3 linked regions of the Saccharomyces cerevisiae S288C genome follow. The main gene of each other region encodes a partner of the protein of the gene in region 2 in a complex. Each region holds a gene or a part of one and is shown on either strand. Other genes may lie near its edges. The genes, in order: TIM12, TIM18 and TIM54.

The links.
Region 1: TIM18 (region 2) and TIM12 share a complex: the UniProt entries of both Saccharomyces cerevisiae proteins name them as parts of the TIM22 complex.
Region 3: TIM18 (region 2) and TIM54 share a complex: the UniProt entries of both Saccharomyces cerevisiae proteins name them as parts of the TIM22 complex.

The regions. Positions count from the first base shown.
Region 1 is NC_001134.8:426,588-431,491, forward strand, and holds TIM12 (Tim12p), read right to left. Parts: upstream 898-4,904; coding exon 568-897; downstream 1-567. Other genes in the region: YBR090C (uncharacterized protein), read right to left, coding at 287-471; acid phosphatase PHO3, read right to left, coding at 1,111-2,514; acid phosphatase PHO5, read right to left, coding at 2,961-4,364. UniProt on the Saccharomyces cerevisiae protein: Essential component of the TIM22 complex, a complex that mediates the import and insertion of multi-pass transmembrane proteins into the mitochondrial inner membrane.
Region 2 is NC_001147.6:871,394-877,060, forward strand, and holds TIM18 (Tim18p), read right to left. Parts: upstream 3,929-5,667; coding exon 3,350-3,928; downstream 1-3,349. Other genes in the region: YOR296W (uncharacterized protein), read left to right, coding at 1-2,678; MUM3 (Mum3p), read left to right, coding at 4,206-5,645. UniProt on the Saccharomyces cerevisiae protein: Component of the TIM22 complex, a complex that mediates the import and insertion of multi-pass transmembrane proteins into the mitochondrial inner membrane.
Region 3 is NC_001142.9:329,668-336,201, forward strand, and holds TIM54 (Tim22-complex subunit TIM54), read left to right. Parts: upstream 1-4,597; coding exon 4,598-6,034; downstream 6,035-6,534. Other genes in the region: protein kinase IKS1, read right to left, coding at 1-454; ZAP1 (Zap1p), read right to left, coding at 764-3,406; LOG1 (Log1p), read left to right, coding at 3,690-4,427; retromer subunit PEP8, read left to right, coding at 6,231-6,534. UniProt on the Saccharomyces cerevisiae protein: Essential component of the TIM22 complex, a complex that mediates the import and insertion of multi-pass transmembrane proteins into the mitochondrial inner membrane.

The sequences.
Region 1 (4,904 bases), on a different chromosome or scaffold from region 2:
CCTTTAGAGGATACTACAGTAGAAAGCTAGAGTCCTGACTTACAACTTGAGCATGCCGTTATGGGCGGCTATTTCATTTCACCTGAACCGTATTAAAATATCATCTTCCTTGCTGCTACAACCTTCATTGTAGCCGGTTTATAAGATTACCATCATTGTCTACCCCTCTTTAACTTCTCCCGAAAAGCAGAGTTGCCCTTAGCTGTATCCTGTTCTAGCTGTGCTAAACTGTACGTTCTTATTAAGCCCATCCTCGTCCGCTGGGCTCACCCAGCGCCTTACATACTTTGCGAAAAAGTCGTTTTTCTGCTTGGTGTTAGGAGCTGTCTCCCATAGTGTAAACTCCCAGTATTGCCTCAACCTCACTTGCTGTACTTTATAGTTGCCGCGCCACCTAAAAAAAAAAACAAAAAAGACACCACCTAAAAAAACGGGTGAGGGGAATGCACGTGACCCAGGTGCGGGTACCATATAAATGTACTTCTAAAATTGTCTACACAGCTTATAATGCTATATATGCAGGTTACTATTATATACAAACAGCACAGACAGTCCTCATATTTACAGCTATTTTTTGGAATCATCAGCTATTTCTTTGGCCACAAATCGCGAATAATGTCGTAGCTGATTCTCTGGCCCGAAACCTCGTGTTTGTACAAATCCTCCAATGAGGCGATTGCTGTAATGCATCTTTGCCACACATCTGTCTATGCAGCATTGCTCACCTTTCGTTAGATCAGGCTCACCAAAGCCCTCATGCGGAATACATTTCTCAAGACACGTACTGAGAATATTGTTGAAAGTCGAGCACATCGCATCGAATTGCACTCCTGCAACGTCTAGCTTCTCTTGCGAGACCTCCTGGTTGCCCCTTAGACTATTTAAAAAGAACGACATCCTTTTCTTGGTGCACTTTAATATTATACGGGAGCTCCGATATCTATTTCAGCAATATAGACTACAATCAACTTTGCTGTTCTTACTTTTTAGTTAACTTTTTTCTTTTCATTCTGCCGCTAATCTACAAACTCGTTACCCTACTAGTACATAAAAGAAGATCAGAATCGATGGGTATTTATTTATATTTGCAATATTATTTATTTATACAATTTATTGTTTTAATAGGGTATCGTTGTAGTGAGTAGTATTCCAGTCCCAGTAGAAGGTCAATTCGGTGACGTTACTGACACTGCTGACGTTACAGACCTTTAGGAAGTCAGTACCAGCTACTCTCTTTTCAGCATAGTCGTAGAAATCATTGATTTCACAAGAGAACCCTGGGCCGGTGGAACAGGTTTCAATTGGAACGACAGCATCGTTAATGACGTATCTGACGTAGGTGTCGTTAGAACATTGGAATTTTTCGGTGTAGACACGAGCACCTTGAGGAACGTACCAGGACTTATGGAAGGTGTTGCCCATGAATGGAACGTATTCGGCAGTTAAGTTGTTTTTGTCGTCAATTATACCAGCGGTGGTCAAATAGTTTAGGATATCGGTATCGTGGGTAAAACTCAACCAGACTTTTAAGTCTTGAGTTTCACTTTGCTTTAACAACTTCAAAGTAGCGTTAAACAAGTTGGCACCGACGGATCTGATCATATCATAACCTGGTCCATCCTGGTAAAACGATACCAGGTCCTGGCCGTATGAGTAACGTACCAATTCATCTTCGGTGAAGATATCACAAACATCACTGTAGCCTCTAGCGTTCAATTCGTATGCACACCATGCAAACAAAGTGTTGGCGTCCTTTGAGGTCAAATTCAAACCCTTGTTTTCTTTGTTTAATCTCTTGGCAATGTCATCCAAGTATGTGGTATCGTATTTGTCCAAAATGTCATCGTTAGCATCTTCATCCCATCCTGGGCACGCATTACCAGCACTCAAAGTGTTTGCGCCGGCGGACATGGCTTCACTGACAGTCTGCAAGGAGATGTTGAATTGGTCACCTAAACCATCAATGAAATATTGAGCAGTGTCATGAACCCTTTCAGAACTAGCGGCGAAAATTGGGAAACTGGTTTGATTTTCGAACATGTAGCCATATTGCGCTAAAAACTCACGAGCATGTCTCTTAGCATCCATCTCACCAGTGTATGGATTCAAAACATTGTCTGAGTTGGCAAAAGTGGTTTCCATTTCCAAATCATCGTCATCACGGATGAAAAACTCGTAATCATCGTTCAAGAATGACAATGAGCCGTTGAATTGACGTGTGTAATTGCTCAACTTATACCATGTTTTCATGATGGTAGCACCTTTACTGTAAGTTGGGTATCTTTCACCATGTCTGGCAAGCATTTGCAATTGTTTCATTTCACAACCTTCAGGCAAGTCACGAGAAATACCATAGTCGCCAGGGAAAGAGAAGTATGGCCCGGCACCACCCAGGAATGGGAATATGTCTTCCTGAGTGCCAATTTTGGCAACATCGGCTAACTCTCCGAGGGGAATTGTACCTGCATTAACTAAAGCAGCGGCTAGAACCGAATAAACAACAGACTTAAACATAGGTAATTTGGAATGGCCCTTTCTTTACTGTAGTATTTTTTTTATGATAATCAAGGCATAATTGACTTCCATCCAGCAAATTTAAGCACTTATATATGTTGCATAGGACTACTCAAAGCTGTTTACTATTTCCCAAACTGGTATTATTTAGTAAATTTCTTTTGAATTTTTTTTTTTTCACTCTTCCTTTTTTTCATTTTTGCGATGCCAGTTCTTTGAGTTTCCCTTATACGGCATATGCACTTAAGGTTTGATTTTGCTAATTAAAGGCGTGCCTAAGCGGCGACTAATACTGTAATATAATATGGGTTCCTGACTGACTACAGGGATTGAAACATCCATTTACCTGTTTCGGATATCTCTGCAGATTTTAATCTTTCGGCAAAATTTAGATAAAAAATTTGGGTATTCGTATTTAGTTTCCAATATTATTTAGTTATACAAAACTATTGTCTCAATAGACTGGCGTTGTAATGAGTAGTGTTCCAGTCCCAGTAGAAGGTCAATTCAGTAGAGTTACTGACGCTGCTGACGTTACAGACCTTTAGGAAGTCAGTACCGGCTACTCTCTTTTCAGCATAGTCGTAGAAGTCATTGATTTCACAAGAGAACCCTGGACCAGTGGAACAGGTTTCAATTGGAACAACAGCATCGTTAATGACGTATCTGACGTAGGTGTCGTTAGAACATTGGAATTTTTCGGTGTAGACACGAGCACCTTGAGGAACGTACCAGGATCTGTGGAAAGTGTTGCCCATGAATGGAACGTATTCGGCAGTTAAGTTGTTTTTGTCGTCAATTATACCAGCGGTGGTCAAAAAGTTTAGGATATCGGTATCGTGGGTAAAACTCAACCAAACCTTTTGGTCTTGAATCTCACTTTGCTTTAATAATTTGACTGAGGCATTGAACAAGTTGGAACCGACAGACTTGATAATGTCGTAACCTGGACCCTCATGGTAATAAGTGTGCAAGTCTTGGTAGTAGGAGTAATGGACTAATTCATCCTTGGTGAAAATATCACAGACATCACTGTAACCTTTAGCGTTCACTTCAAATGCACACCACGAGAATAAAGTACTAGCGTCAGTTGAGGTCAAGTTCAAACCCTTGTTTTCCTTGTTCAATCTCTTGGCAATGTCATCCAAGTAGGTTGTGTCGTATTCATTTACAATGTCATCATTGGCATCGTAGTCCCAAGCAGGACATGAGTTACAAGCACTCAAAGTGTTGGCACCAGCGGATTCAGCTTCACTGACAGTCTGCAAGGTGATGTTGAATTGGTCACCTAAACCATCAATGAAATATTGAGCAGTGTCATGACATCTCTTAGAATTAGAGGTAAAAACGGCGAAACTGGTTTGGTTTTCGACCATGTAACCGTATTGAGCCAAGAAGTCACGAGCATGTCTCTTGGCGTTCATTTCACCAGTGTATGGGTTCAAAACATCGTCCGAGTTGGCAAAAGTGGTTTCCATTTCCAAATCATCGTCATCACGGATGAAAAACTCGTAATCATCGTTCAAGAATGACAATGAGCCGTTGAATTGACGAGTGTAATTGCTCAACTTATACCATGTACTCTTGATAGTCTTAGCCAGACTGACAGTAGGGTATCTTTCACCATGTCTACCAACCATTTGCAGTTGCTTCATTTCACAACCTTCAGGCAAATCACGAGAAATACCATAGTCGCCAGGGAAAGAGTAGTATGGTCCGGCACCACCCAAAAATGGGAAGATATCTTTTTGGGTACCAATCTTGTCGACATCGGCTAGTTTGCCTAAGGGAATGGTACCTGCATTGGCCAAAGAAGCGGCTAAAATTGAATAAACAACAGATTTAAACATTGGTAATCTCGAATTTGCTTGCTCTATTTGTTGTTGTTCTTATTCTCATGAGAGATGAAGCCATACTAACCTCGACTTAGCAAAACATCAGCGCTTATATACGTTTCATTTCGACAATTCAAAGATGTTTACCCTTATCCCAAATGGGTATATGCCTTGCCAAGTAAGGTGACCAATTTGATAATTTGGCATGTGCGATCTCTTCGAAAACAGGGACCAGAATCATAAATTTAGTCTGTGCTAGTCCCACGTGTGAGTGCCAAGGTTGTATCGATTCATTTAGAGATTGCCTATTCAATTAACTCTTTTAATCACTTTTACTTTTTTTGGCATTGTGCAGTTGCGTTCTATGCGAAAACGTGCTAATTTAATATATATTTCTTTGTGCAGACAAAGAAAAAGCGCTATGAACCTTTTACCTTCGTTTGAAGTTTATAGACGACGTCCGCTTACATGAGAAAACATTAAAGCAGCGCACATAAGATGACTTCCAAATACGTTGACATATTTGCGCATTCTTGTTGAATACAACTTTCGGAT
Region 2 (5,667 bases):
CCTCGTTGGTTTATTCAGCAGCAAATTTAAGTGTTCTAGGAGATGAAGAGCTAAATATCCCAATAACTGAAAACTTGTTTTCTGTCATCCGCAATAAATATTTATGTTCAGAGGATAATCTGGATCCATCCGCTTGGAATGCTCAGGATCGCTATTTATGGGCTGCAAACCTTTTTCATACGACTGATCAGTCTATGAGGACAATAAATAACCTTTTAACTGCGATATTTTCAGGTACAAAGCCAAAATTTTCTCCAGTTTTGTCATTTTATTATTCAAACATTGTTGGGGATCCAGTAATGGAATTCTATGAAACGCAGTCCGTAGCTGTAAAGAAATACTGGATCAAATTATTTAAGAAGACTCTTTTTAAAGCATCAGAGGATTATTTTGTCTCCCTTCTGCAGGATATGCTAAAGGCTAACGCAATAGAAATTCAAAACGTTCAGAATCTCGTAGAAACAATTATAGAAGCCATAAAAGCGATTCAAAAACGTTACAATAAACCTTTATTGGACGAAATATCTCTGCCTAGACAATGCGCAGTATTTCTATGTGAAGTATACGGTTCGGATTCTTTAAATCTAATAAAAACCGCTGAAAAGAGTACCATGAAAATGACTGGACAAAAGTTGGGTCCAATAGATGCGCTAGATATGTATGATGTACTGAAAGAACTGAGACAGATTTACCTGCAGGTAAAGCCAAAAGGGAAATTTTTCTTTAACCTTGAAAATTATTTCATCAAATATTTGACTCGATTATGTGATGATGTGAGCCGTAATGTTCAAAAAGTTATTAAATCTTCACTAGAAAGCGAGAATTGGCAACCCGTAAATGACCAGGACCATTTCAGTAGATCAGTTTTGGACATATTCAAAATGATAAATGAATCAACTAGCATGTTGGAGAAATTTGGTTGGCAAAATGAATTTCAACTGGCACAAATGATCACGGTAATATTAAAGGCGTTTTCAGATGGTATGCTTTCATACTCAGCTCAACTAATGGAATTGATCCAGAGAGATTTACAGGAGGGTGATGAACCATCCTACTCTTTAGAAAGCTCAGACACTCGATCTTCACTTAGCCTGAATAACGCTAACGTAAATCATGAAAAATCAAGAAGTAGTAGGCTGTTTGAAGATTTGAAAAATGTAGTTAAATCAACTCCGAAGATGGTAGCTCCTGCTCCATATCAGTTCAAGAAGCGTACGTGCGTACTGCTAAATGATCTTGATAAAACACTTTTTCTGTTAGAGAGCTTCGAAGAAAAAGCAGATCCATCAAAAATATCCTCTGTTATTGCACAGTACCACTCCTCCCATAATTTAGAGGATAATGGGAAGTCATTCGATGACCAGAATATGAAGCAAGTTTATACCCTTCGAATTATCGGTGCTGAAAATATTAAAGGCTTCAGCAAAACGGGGCTTTCAAACACCTACGTTTCCATGAGAAACATCACTTTACAACGGGAAATAGGTACTACTAAGATTGTTGCAAGATCGATTACTCCCAAATGGGACGAAGAGTTTGTGTTTGAGTCTCCATTCGGAAAGTCGAACGATATTATGTTTACTATATGGCACCACCCACACAGCAGATTAAAGAATTTAGCGGAAGATGATCTATGTGGAAAAGCCAATATGAAATTCACTCCGAGAAAGCTCAAGGATGATGGGTTTCCTATCGATTTTTCGCTCACATTGAATCCGCAGGGAACTTTATATTGCCAAATATCCCTGGAAAGTGAGAAAATAGATGCCGTTTCTTCTATGGGAAGAATATATAGATCTTTTAGCAGGTCAAGAGATCGTGCAATAAACCTAATAGTCAACAAATTTTCTGATTTTATTGCATTTGCCTTCTCGAGAACCACATTAAAAACAGTGTGTGGTCACCATGGTTCTGCACTTGCGTCTGACGAAGCAGTATATGACGCAATTTTACCACTATTTGACTATTTAAACGCAAATTTGAACATTCTGGCATCAGAACTTTCACAGAGATTGTTGTTTATGGTAATGCTAAGAGCGTGGAACCTCGTTTTAGAGAACGCTGATTTACTTCTTCTACCTGCATTGAATAGCGCTAAAGTTAATATATTGCGTTCAGCAAAGAAATCTTTGTGGGAAAATACTCTTTCAACCACAAAAACGGTATCAGGATACGGTCGTCCTTTGACTCAAGCGGAAATCGAGGCTGTATTCAAATGGCTTGATGCGCTGTGTGTAGATTTTTTTCATAATAAAGGAGAAGGTCCCCCTCTTGCAGAATTGAAAAATGAGTATTACCAAAATATATTGCTGATCCCAGCTTTTTATGATAAAAGTGTCTCCGAATTGAAGGATGAAGTTCAGCGATTGATTCCCCTATATGAAGAGTATTTGAGATGGTTTTATCTGAAGAAAACTCCGATTACTTTTACGAATAAATCCGCTGGAACAATATCTCGAAAAAAGTCGCTAGTAGCTAACATTGTAAAAGAGCCTAAGGAACAACTGGAACGTGATGCAGAAGTAATGAATATTATATTGAGAATATTGATCGCGAAAGGCCAACATGATTACGTTCATCGAATTTTACATGACAGAAAAGAACTTGTTAATACTATGAAAAATAGAAGAGCGGTGAGTAGAGCGGTCACTCCTACAGGAAAAAAGGGCAGAAACTGAAGTCTCTTTTATATATATACATGGGGTGCTGACTAAACAGTTCCACCCTATATTTGAGCGTCGATAAAAAATGAATGAACGTGTATCATCGTTTATTATAAGAATCATAGTTTTATGGACAAGTTTTCCGTTTAGCATTTATACCCATATAGTAAAAAGTTTCGCAGATAGTGCGATAGTTGTATTCTGATTGCCTTATTATTATTTCACTAATTCTTTATTCACGTAGAGCATGACACTTTTTTTATGTGTTTCCTTTTGATTGTGAAATAAAGGCGAATCCTAACAAATATTAAAATGTTTCAATACATTGATAAAAATTGTAAACATTATTTTTTTGTAGTATAAAAATTCGTTCCTCATCATTAAAGAAACAAAAAGCATACAGATAATAATAAAAAAGGCACTTTAGACAGAATGAGAATACTAGCAATCACGAATTCCTACTTTTCCTTTCTGTATCCCTAGGCGTTTCACTCGACAAGAATTGATCGTCTTGTACCAATCCAAGCAGATCGATATATACATATATATCTGGATTTCGAGAAGAAGGATATATTTTATTGCTTATTTGTCTTTTTATAAAATCTCTCCTAAGTTAAGTTCATGGGGAATCTGACTCTAAAAATGAAATCTTAGAAATGCAAAAAAAAAGAAAAAGTATGGGTGAGTCAGTTTCTTCCAAATATATACAAATGGTCATCATTTTCATTCCAAAGTTTCTTTACCAGGTCAACAAAACCATTATTTTTCGTTTCCAATTCGTAGATACCGTACAGGGACAACATGGATCCTCCATAGAGGCAATAAAGGGCGAGCTTATGCCATCTTGGATACTTTTCCTTCGGTATATAGTCAATAATACAACTTGTGAAGCCATACTGTAAATATATCAAAAAAATGGACGATAAAGACGCATCGAGTAAAGGATTTATAACCCCGCCGGTAAAGGAGGCATAAAAAGGTACCATTGTTAATGGAATCAAAGTATATTTTGCTATTCTCTCATAGTCTTTTTGATAAGAGTCCTTAAATTGAGAGAACTCTGGGGGCTTAAACATCTGCACTGAAGAGGATGCCTCTTTTGACGTATTTGCAATATCGTTTATTTTATTTTCAGCATTTAAACGATTAATGCTATAAAAGGATCTTTTGGTTGAAAGTACTAATCCTGGAAAAACAGCTCGTACAGGATTTACAATGACAGTGGAAGCATTAAGAACAGGCTTCAAGCCAGGAAACAATAGCATTACCAAAGGTATTAAATTACTCAGTTGTTGCACCTCGCATCACCGTTAATTAATGTGTGCATTCCACTGTCTGGAAGTTTTCATTTTTATCCGATCTTTTGCGAGAATGGTTTGTTTTTCAAAAAAACCGAGTGTCAACAAGGCATGTAGCGACACAAAATGAAAAATTGAAAGTTAACAGGGCAAGATATGCACCATAATAGATTCATTGTTAATCTTAATCAAATAAAATTTCTCTTTTCCACACAGAAAACTAAACGAAAGGTATAACTTTAAGATGGGTTTTGTTGATTTCTTCGAAACATATATGGTCGGTTCTAGGGTCCAGTTCAAACAGTTAGATATTTCTGATTGGTTGAGTCTGACCCCAAGGTTGCTTATTCTTTTTGGCTATTTTTACCTTCATTCTTTTTTTACTGCAATCAATCAATTCCTACAGTTCATTAACACGAATTCCTTCTGTCTTAGACTGCATTTACTATATGACAGATTTTGGTCGCATGTGCCCATAATAGGTGAGTACAAAATTCGGCTGCTCTCGAGGGCACTGACATATAGTAAACTGAAAATAATACCAACTTTAGACAAGGTGCTGGAGGCGATTGAAATTTGGTTTCAGCTACATTTAGTTGAAATGACCTTCGAAAAAAAAAAAAACGTCCAAATTTTCATAACCGAGGGAAGTGATGACCTAAACTTTTTTAAAGATAGCAAATTCCAAACCACATTAATGATATGTAATCATCGATCAGTGAATGACTACACATTGATTAATTACCTTTTTCTCAAAAGTTGTCCCACCAAGTTTTATACTAAATGGGAATTTCTACAAAAGCTGAGGAAGGGGGAAGATCTAGCTGAATGGCCTCAGTTAAAATTTCTTGGTTGGGGAAAAATGTTTAACTTTCCTCGATTGGATCTACTAAAGAACATATTCTTCAAAGATGAAACACTCGCACTCTCATCGAATGAGTTAAGAGATATTTTAGAAAGACAAAACAATCAAGCTATTACTATTTTTCCCGAAGTCAATATCATGAGTTTGGAACTATCAATTATTCAAAGAAAATTACACCAAGATTTTCCCTTTGTTATAAACTTCTATAATTTATTATACCCAAGATTTAAAAACTTTACCACTTTGATGGCTGCTTTTTCATCAATTAAAAACATCAAAAGAAAGAAAAACCGTAACAATATAATCAAAGAGGCCCGATACCTGTTTCACAGAGAACTTGACAAATTAGTTCACAAGAGCATGAAAATGGAGTCTTCCAAGGTATCCGATAAGACGACGCCGCCCATGATCGTAGATAATTCATACTTACTTACAAAAAAGGAAGAAATCAGCAGCGGCAAGCCCAAGGTGGTACGAATCAATCCATACATATATGATGTCACCATAATTTATTACCGAGTCAAATATACTGATAGTGGGCATGATCATACCAACGGAGATTTGAGACTTCATAAAGGTTATCAATTAGAGCAAATATCTCCGACAATCTTTGAGATGATTCAACCAGAAATGGAGTCTGAAAACAACATAAAGGATAAGGACCCCATTGTTGTGATGGTAAATGTAAAAAAGCATCAAATTCAACCATTACTCGCATACAATGATGAGAGTTTAGAAAAGTGGCTTGAAAATAGGTGGATAGAAAAAGATAGATTAATCGAGTCCTTGCAAAAAAATATTAAAATTGAGACCAAATAAAGATCCTGAATCATAATATATA
Region 3 (6,534 bases), on a different chromosome or scaffold from region 2:
ACTGTCCCTGCTTATTGTTACTATCGTTTTGTAGGGCGTAGTGCCGATGATTTCTTTCCAATGACTGAAAATATCTTCTTGAAAAGCTTGAATTGGCAAATTCAAATCCAAGTGGCACAGTGTTCTCTGGAATACTGAGCCTACTGCTTTCTGATTCTACTCCAGCAGAGGCTCGACGATGAAGTTGTCTTCTGTTTATAATATCAGGGTTAATTTCCGTACCACATTGCGGGCACACATAGGAAGCAATAGGGCTTTTGTATTGATGAATCCCTGAAGGAAAGTCCAGTGCTGATAAAGATGCAGTCTGGTCTTCATTTAGTTCAGAGTCATTATTACTGTTGTCCTGTTGGAAAAATGATAAAGTTCCTGAGGTTGGATTAACAACCACCACTGATTTAGAATTAGGATCATCTAAAATCAGCGAACCTTCTTCATATGGTACTAAACTCATTTCTAAGTTCTACTTATGCTATCCCTCAAACTATATATCTAATAGTGTTTCTTCGGTTACCTAGTTGTCACTCATAGGATCTATATATACAATGTCCTTCCCCCCCACCCCCTTTTCTGAAACGTATACAAAAAATAAAGCTTGAAATACGTTATTACGTAAAAAAAGTGTACTGTAAAAGCTTACAAAAAAGAGTTTGCGAAAAATTATAAATAAAAAGTAGTCTAGGTAAAATATGAAATGTTTCTAATTATGCATTTATGTGATCCTGAAAACCGCCCTTCTTACGTTGGACCATGATGATCACATTTATAAATATGGTTTTCTTTCCAATGCGCATTTCACTTTCTGTGAGTTCAATTTTCCCAAATCGTCAAAGCTTTTGGAACAGTCAGAGCACTTGTATTTTTTCTGATGGGTCTTAATATGTTTGCTCAAATTTGACGATTCGTTGAATCTCTTACCACAAATCTTGCATTGTAAAGGTTTTTCACCAGTATGGGTTCTTATATGAATCTTCAAAGAACTTGAAATCGCGAATTTTTTATTACAAATGTGACATTTGTAAGGTTTTTCGCCAGAGTGTGTCCTGGTATGCTGAACTAAAGTTTCTTCGCTTGAAAAACACCTTTTACATGTCTTGCACTTATAAGGTTTGTATTTCGAATGCACTTTTAAATGACGGATTAATTTTTGTCTTTGGGGGAACGTACGATGGCAGTCATGCCACAAGCATTGGTATTCAGACTTACCCCGGGTTAAATGTACTGCTTCTAAATGGTCGTTTAATTCCTGAGCACTGGAAAATGACTTATTGCAACCATCCCATTGGCAAATCACCTGTTCCGGCTGCTTGATTGGCGGTATATTGGAAACATCATTTGCAGACGTCATATCAGGTGCTCCATCTGCTTTAGAAACTTCGTGTGTTTGTGGGTTGGGGCAATGTAGTAAGTGATGTTTTTCCTTTGATATACTACCAGGCAAAAATGAGTCTGGGTTGGCAAATTGAATATCAAAATTGATACCATGTTGACAATTAATATGGTTCACTATGGAACATGTATCATCTCCAAGGAAATCACAGTCCTCCCAATTACAAGCTAATGGTTCCATAGGGTGTTTGAAATCTTGAGAGACATGATCCTTCAAAAGATGTCTTTGTAGGTCAAATAGTGAGCTACAAGACTCAGGACATTCTTTCCATTTGCATTTTAAGTCATTGTTTTTCTCTTCTTTAAAACACCAGTTGAAATTTATAGTGCTTGTTGTCTGTATAGGAGGAGAGATGCTAGAAGGTAATGAGTCTTCCAAAGAGCTGAAATCAGTAGATTCTAGATCTTTTGTAGGCCAAGATCTACGATTTTTCTGATTCTGATGAGTGACTTTGGGTAGCGAAGGGGGCTCACTTTGATTTCTAAATCTTTCATAACTATACTCTCTTGAAATTAAGTCATTTAAATCGTTGTTAGTTAGATCGGCTGTTGTGTTCGCCGCGCTAATCCCTGAATTGTTCACAATATTGTTTCTATTTGGTTTGTGAGAATGAAACTGTATTCTATGGTGATGGTGTTGATGATCAGTTGAAGTTGCTCCAGCCGTATTGTTATTGCTTCCATTAAGATTATTTTTAGGGTTGCATCTATTAATGCTTGATAATAGAAGATTCATTGTTTGGTTACCGTTTTCATTATTTCCTGTGCTCGAACCATCGCAGCCGTTACCGGCATTATTGTGGTCGTGGTGGTTAATGTGTTTTCCAAACGGTACTTCATACAAAGAAGAAATATTGCATAAATCTTCCAAAATCTTCAAATCCATATCAGTATTTAAGATATGTTCGTGATAAGCATGATTTGTACCTTGCAAAGTGTTTGTAGGTTTTCGTAAAGATGAACATTTGGGTGGTAGTTGAGGTGGCTTTGACTCTAAATGCATATGCTTAGAACAAGGTTGATTATCAGTGCTCTCCTCACAAAATTTGCAGTATTTATGGAAAACGTCATCATTATTTGATGATTGATGATCTTGAACAAACTTGTGACCACTAGTCGCGCTCGTGCTAGCCGTGCATGGGGTGTCACAGGTCAAATCGCAATCAATCTCCGATAAGTGAGACATCAGCTGAGAAAAGCTATCTGGTACAGTATTATTGTGATTGTGAGAGTCGTGATTGGTACTATTACAGTACTGATCATGAAGGTTAAAATTTGGCATCAAGTGATCGTTCTTTACATCTGTGAATATTGCAACATCATTGCCGTTCTCAGATATGTCTTTCTTTGTCGGTTGATCAGATTCACCTTGTTTTATATTAGCCTCACTTTTGGGATGAGTTTCGTCACAACATATTTCCAAAATCTTGGGCGTACAATAACAATCATCGGATCCAGGTGGTGGGTTCGGTTTATTTTTCTTGGAAGAGGGCAGCAGTATCAGATCGTCGTTAAACCAAGAATCTTTTCTACGTGGTAGGTCGCTTTTAGAATTCTGTTGGGGACTTGTCGGATCAGAAGCTACCGAATGGAAATTGTTTGCAAAAGAATGATTATTAGAATTATACGTTGCAGTATCATTATATTTTGTTAATGACGGATTATTGTGATAATTCAAGAACTCGAAATGTTGGCAGTCGGTGTACTCCTTGCATTTCTCATTGACGTGGCAATCACCACCCATATCATGGCTAGCTCCAGATGCAAATGCGGAAGTAGCGGCATCAGCAACAGCTGCGGCTGCAGGTGTTGCCGAAGCACTACTGTCGTTCACAGGCGCGCTGTGGTGAAGGTGACCATGGATATAGGTCAGGTTGTTGTAGTTATGGATGTGCCCGTGGACAATGCCTTCTTTACCTATCGTCAGAGCATCAGGCTTGGCAGAAGCAGCAGTGGCCGCACTCGTGGCCATCGAGTCATCGCGCTTGGGGGAGTCCCTGGGAGTCAACGCATCCATTAGTTCCTATCCTTCTTCTATTTAAAAAACCGTAACACATAAAAAGTAAAAGTGTAATGCTTCCGTCTCGCCGCTGGCCTATATTCACAGTGACTGCAGTTGCATCTTATATTGCCAAGCACGTTTCATCATGACCTTTAGGGTAGATGACTGCTGTCAACTACTCCGTCTGCAGTGATATATAATCATGTTTTGGGCGTTTAAGGAAGGAGAATTATTTCCAACAGTTGAATAGGAAGATCCCTAGAGTAAATCGCAGGCAATCCAGTACTAAGAAACGGCGATGACAATGGAAAAAAATGGAGGTAATAGCAGCCGTGGTGGCCAAGTAGGCGGCAAGTCTGTGTGTGTTTACTGCGGGTCTTCATTTGGCGCTAAGGCGCTATACTCAGAAAGTGCAGAAGAATTAGGAGCCCTTTTCCATAAGCTGGGATGGAAATTGGTATACGGTGGAGGCACTACTGGTTTGATGGGCAAGATAGCAAGGTCTACGATGGGACCTGATTTAAGCGGACAGGTTCACGGTATCATTCCAAATGCACTTGTGTCTAAGGAAAGGACAGACGAGGATAAAGAAGATGTTAATAAAGCATTGTTGGAGTCTGTAGAAAATCATAAGGGCGCCACTCCTATTTCTGAAGAGTATGGGGAAACAACGATTGTACCAGATATGCATACGAGAAAAAGAATGATGGCAAATTTGAGTGACGCGTTTGTTGCTATGCCTGGTGGATACGGGACTTTTGAAGAAATCATGGAATGTATCACGTGGTCGCAACTGGGGATTCATAATAAACCAATTATCTTGTTCAATATCGATGGGTTCTATGACAAATTATTGGAGTTCCTCAAACACTCTATTCAAGAACGGTTCATCAGTGTGAAGAATGGTGAAATCATTCAAGTTGCCTCCACTCCGCAGGAAGTTGTTGATAAAATAGAGAAGTACGTCGTTCCAGAGGGCCGTTTCAATTTGAATTGGAGCGACGAAGGTCACGCTCACGAGGATTGTGCTAAATAATAGAAACGTAAGTCATGTATCTAGTTTAAACGATCTGTATAGATAATGTGGTGAAAAATCCAAATTTTTAGGAGCTGTCTTTCTAAGCCCGAAGGCTGGAAAAAATAGTACTGATGGCAAAGACATCATAGCTTTAAAGTCCATTGTTCTCAAAAGAAGCTCAATAGACCATGTCTTCTGAATCAGGAAAGCCTATTGCTAAGCCTATTAGGAAGCCTGGCTATACCAATCCGGCTTTAAAAGCCCTTGGTATACCCGCCTTGAGGCTGCCTTCTCGAAACTGGATGATCTTTTGGTCTGTGTTAACAGTATCCATCGGTGGCATAGCCTATGACAAATACAAGCAACGTCAGATTCTGAGCCATGCAACAGACTTGGTGAAGCCTTTGGCAGAGGAGTCCATGGAGGTAGACAAAGTGCCACGAAAGATCACTGTTTTTATTGCACCTCCTCCAAATGATTATCTGGAGAGTTCGTTGAAAGTTTGGAGACGATATGTTAAGCCTGTACTGTATTATGCAGGGTTGGACTATGAATTAGTTCAAGAGGATAGGCAAGGGATTATTAGAACTAATGTAGCCAACAGAATCAGAGAATTGAGAAAGGAAATATTGGCATCGACGGATGGGCAGCCAGTTAAAGAGCCTAACCAAACGGTAGCAAAACCAAGTGGTTCTTCAACCAGTAAAATTTCATCACTACTACCGTTCAATAAAATCATTCAAGATCCTGCTGAAGAAGATGACTCGTTTGATCCAGAAATCGGTAAAAAGTTCAAGGAGAACTTCGACTGGAGAAACGTTATAGGTATCTTCTATACAATGCCAAAACCGAAGCATATAATAAGTGAAGACGCCCTGACAAAGGACCCTATATTATCTGGTGGTGTTATTTGTTTAGGTAGAGGCGCCTATAAGGAGTACATTGCCGGTATTCACGAAGGCTTGCTTGGACCCATCGAGAAGACCGAAAAAACAGGATCCACTGAGCCTAAGATGACTGGGGTTGTAGAAGCAAATCAAATAGAATCAAAGGTAAGTGAATCCGGTGCTACGGAACTGGTGGATGCCGAGAAAGAGACTGCTTTGGAAGAGGCCAAAGTACAAGATGATCTAAAGGTTGATGAAGAAAACAGCTCAGAGGATTCGCAAAAATTTTTGAAGCCATTTATTTCTTCAGACCAATACCCTGACCTGCAAATCGCTTCGGAATTACAAACTCCAAATGGCGAATTCATAAGAAACCCCAATACAAATATCCCGCTTCTGATTAATCAGCCGTTATTGGTCATTCCAATACCTAACTTGATAGGTTTTACTACCATTCCAAGGAGAATACATCGTTTTTACCAGAAGCGTTTCTACGTAGAGGACGTGTGTTCAAGTGTAGTTAACTGTGTTCGACAAACCCGTATAAGACCGTTTGATATTGCAAAGGATATTGATTTGGCGAAGGACGAAGAAAAAGATTGGCCACAGAACTGGGTCAAACAGGGTAAAGAAAAGAACAGCGAATGGACCCAAGAATTAGTATGTGATCCTAGAATCACGAAGCATATGTTTGTTTACGAAAAACCACCCAAGGAAGAGCCAGAATCAGATATTTAATTGGATATATATTATGTTTTATCATCATGCACGATCGACGTTATGTCTGACATATACCAAACCCTTTTCGAAGATTTCCCTTTACTCATGTTGAAATAGTTTTTATATATGCACACATATACATATATATAAAATCTGTAAATATAATAAAATGTGTACATTGTAAAAGAATCCAAGCACAACTATTATTAGCATTATGAGTATTTTTTTCAAGCCGCCGATTGATATTGAGATCCTTTTCGATAATGAGGAATCTCGCAAACACGTAGACATTGCAACAAGATCAAGTAATTCCAGTTACAAATCAATGAAGGAAAGCTTGCCCGTCTATGAAGATGGCGAATCCCTTGGTGGAATTGTTACTTTGAGAGTTCGGGATAGTAAAAAGGTAGACCACTTGGGCATAAAAGTGTCCGTTATTGGATCCATTGATATGTTAAAATCTCATGGGAGCGGTAATTCATCTTCTAAAAAAGTTACCTCTAGCACATCATCTTCCT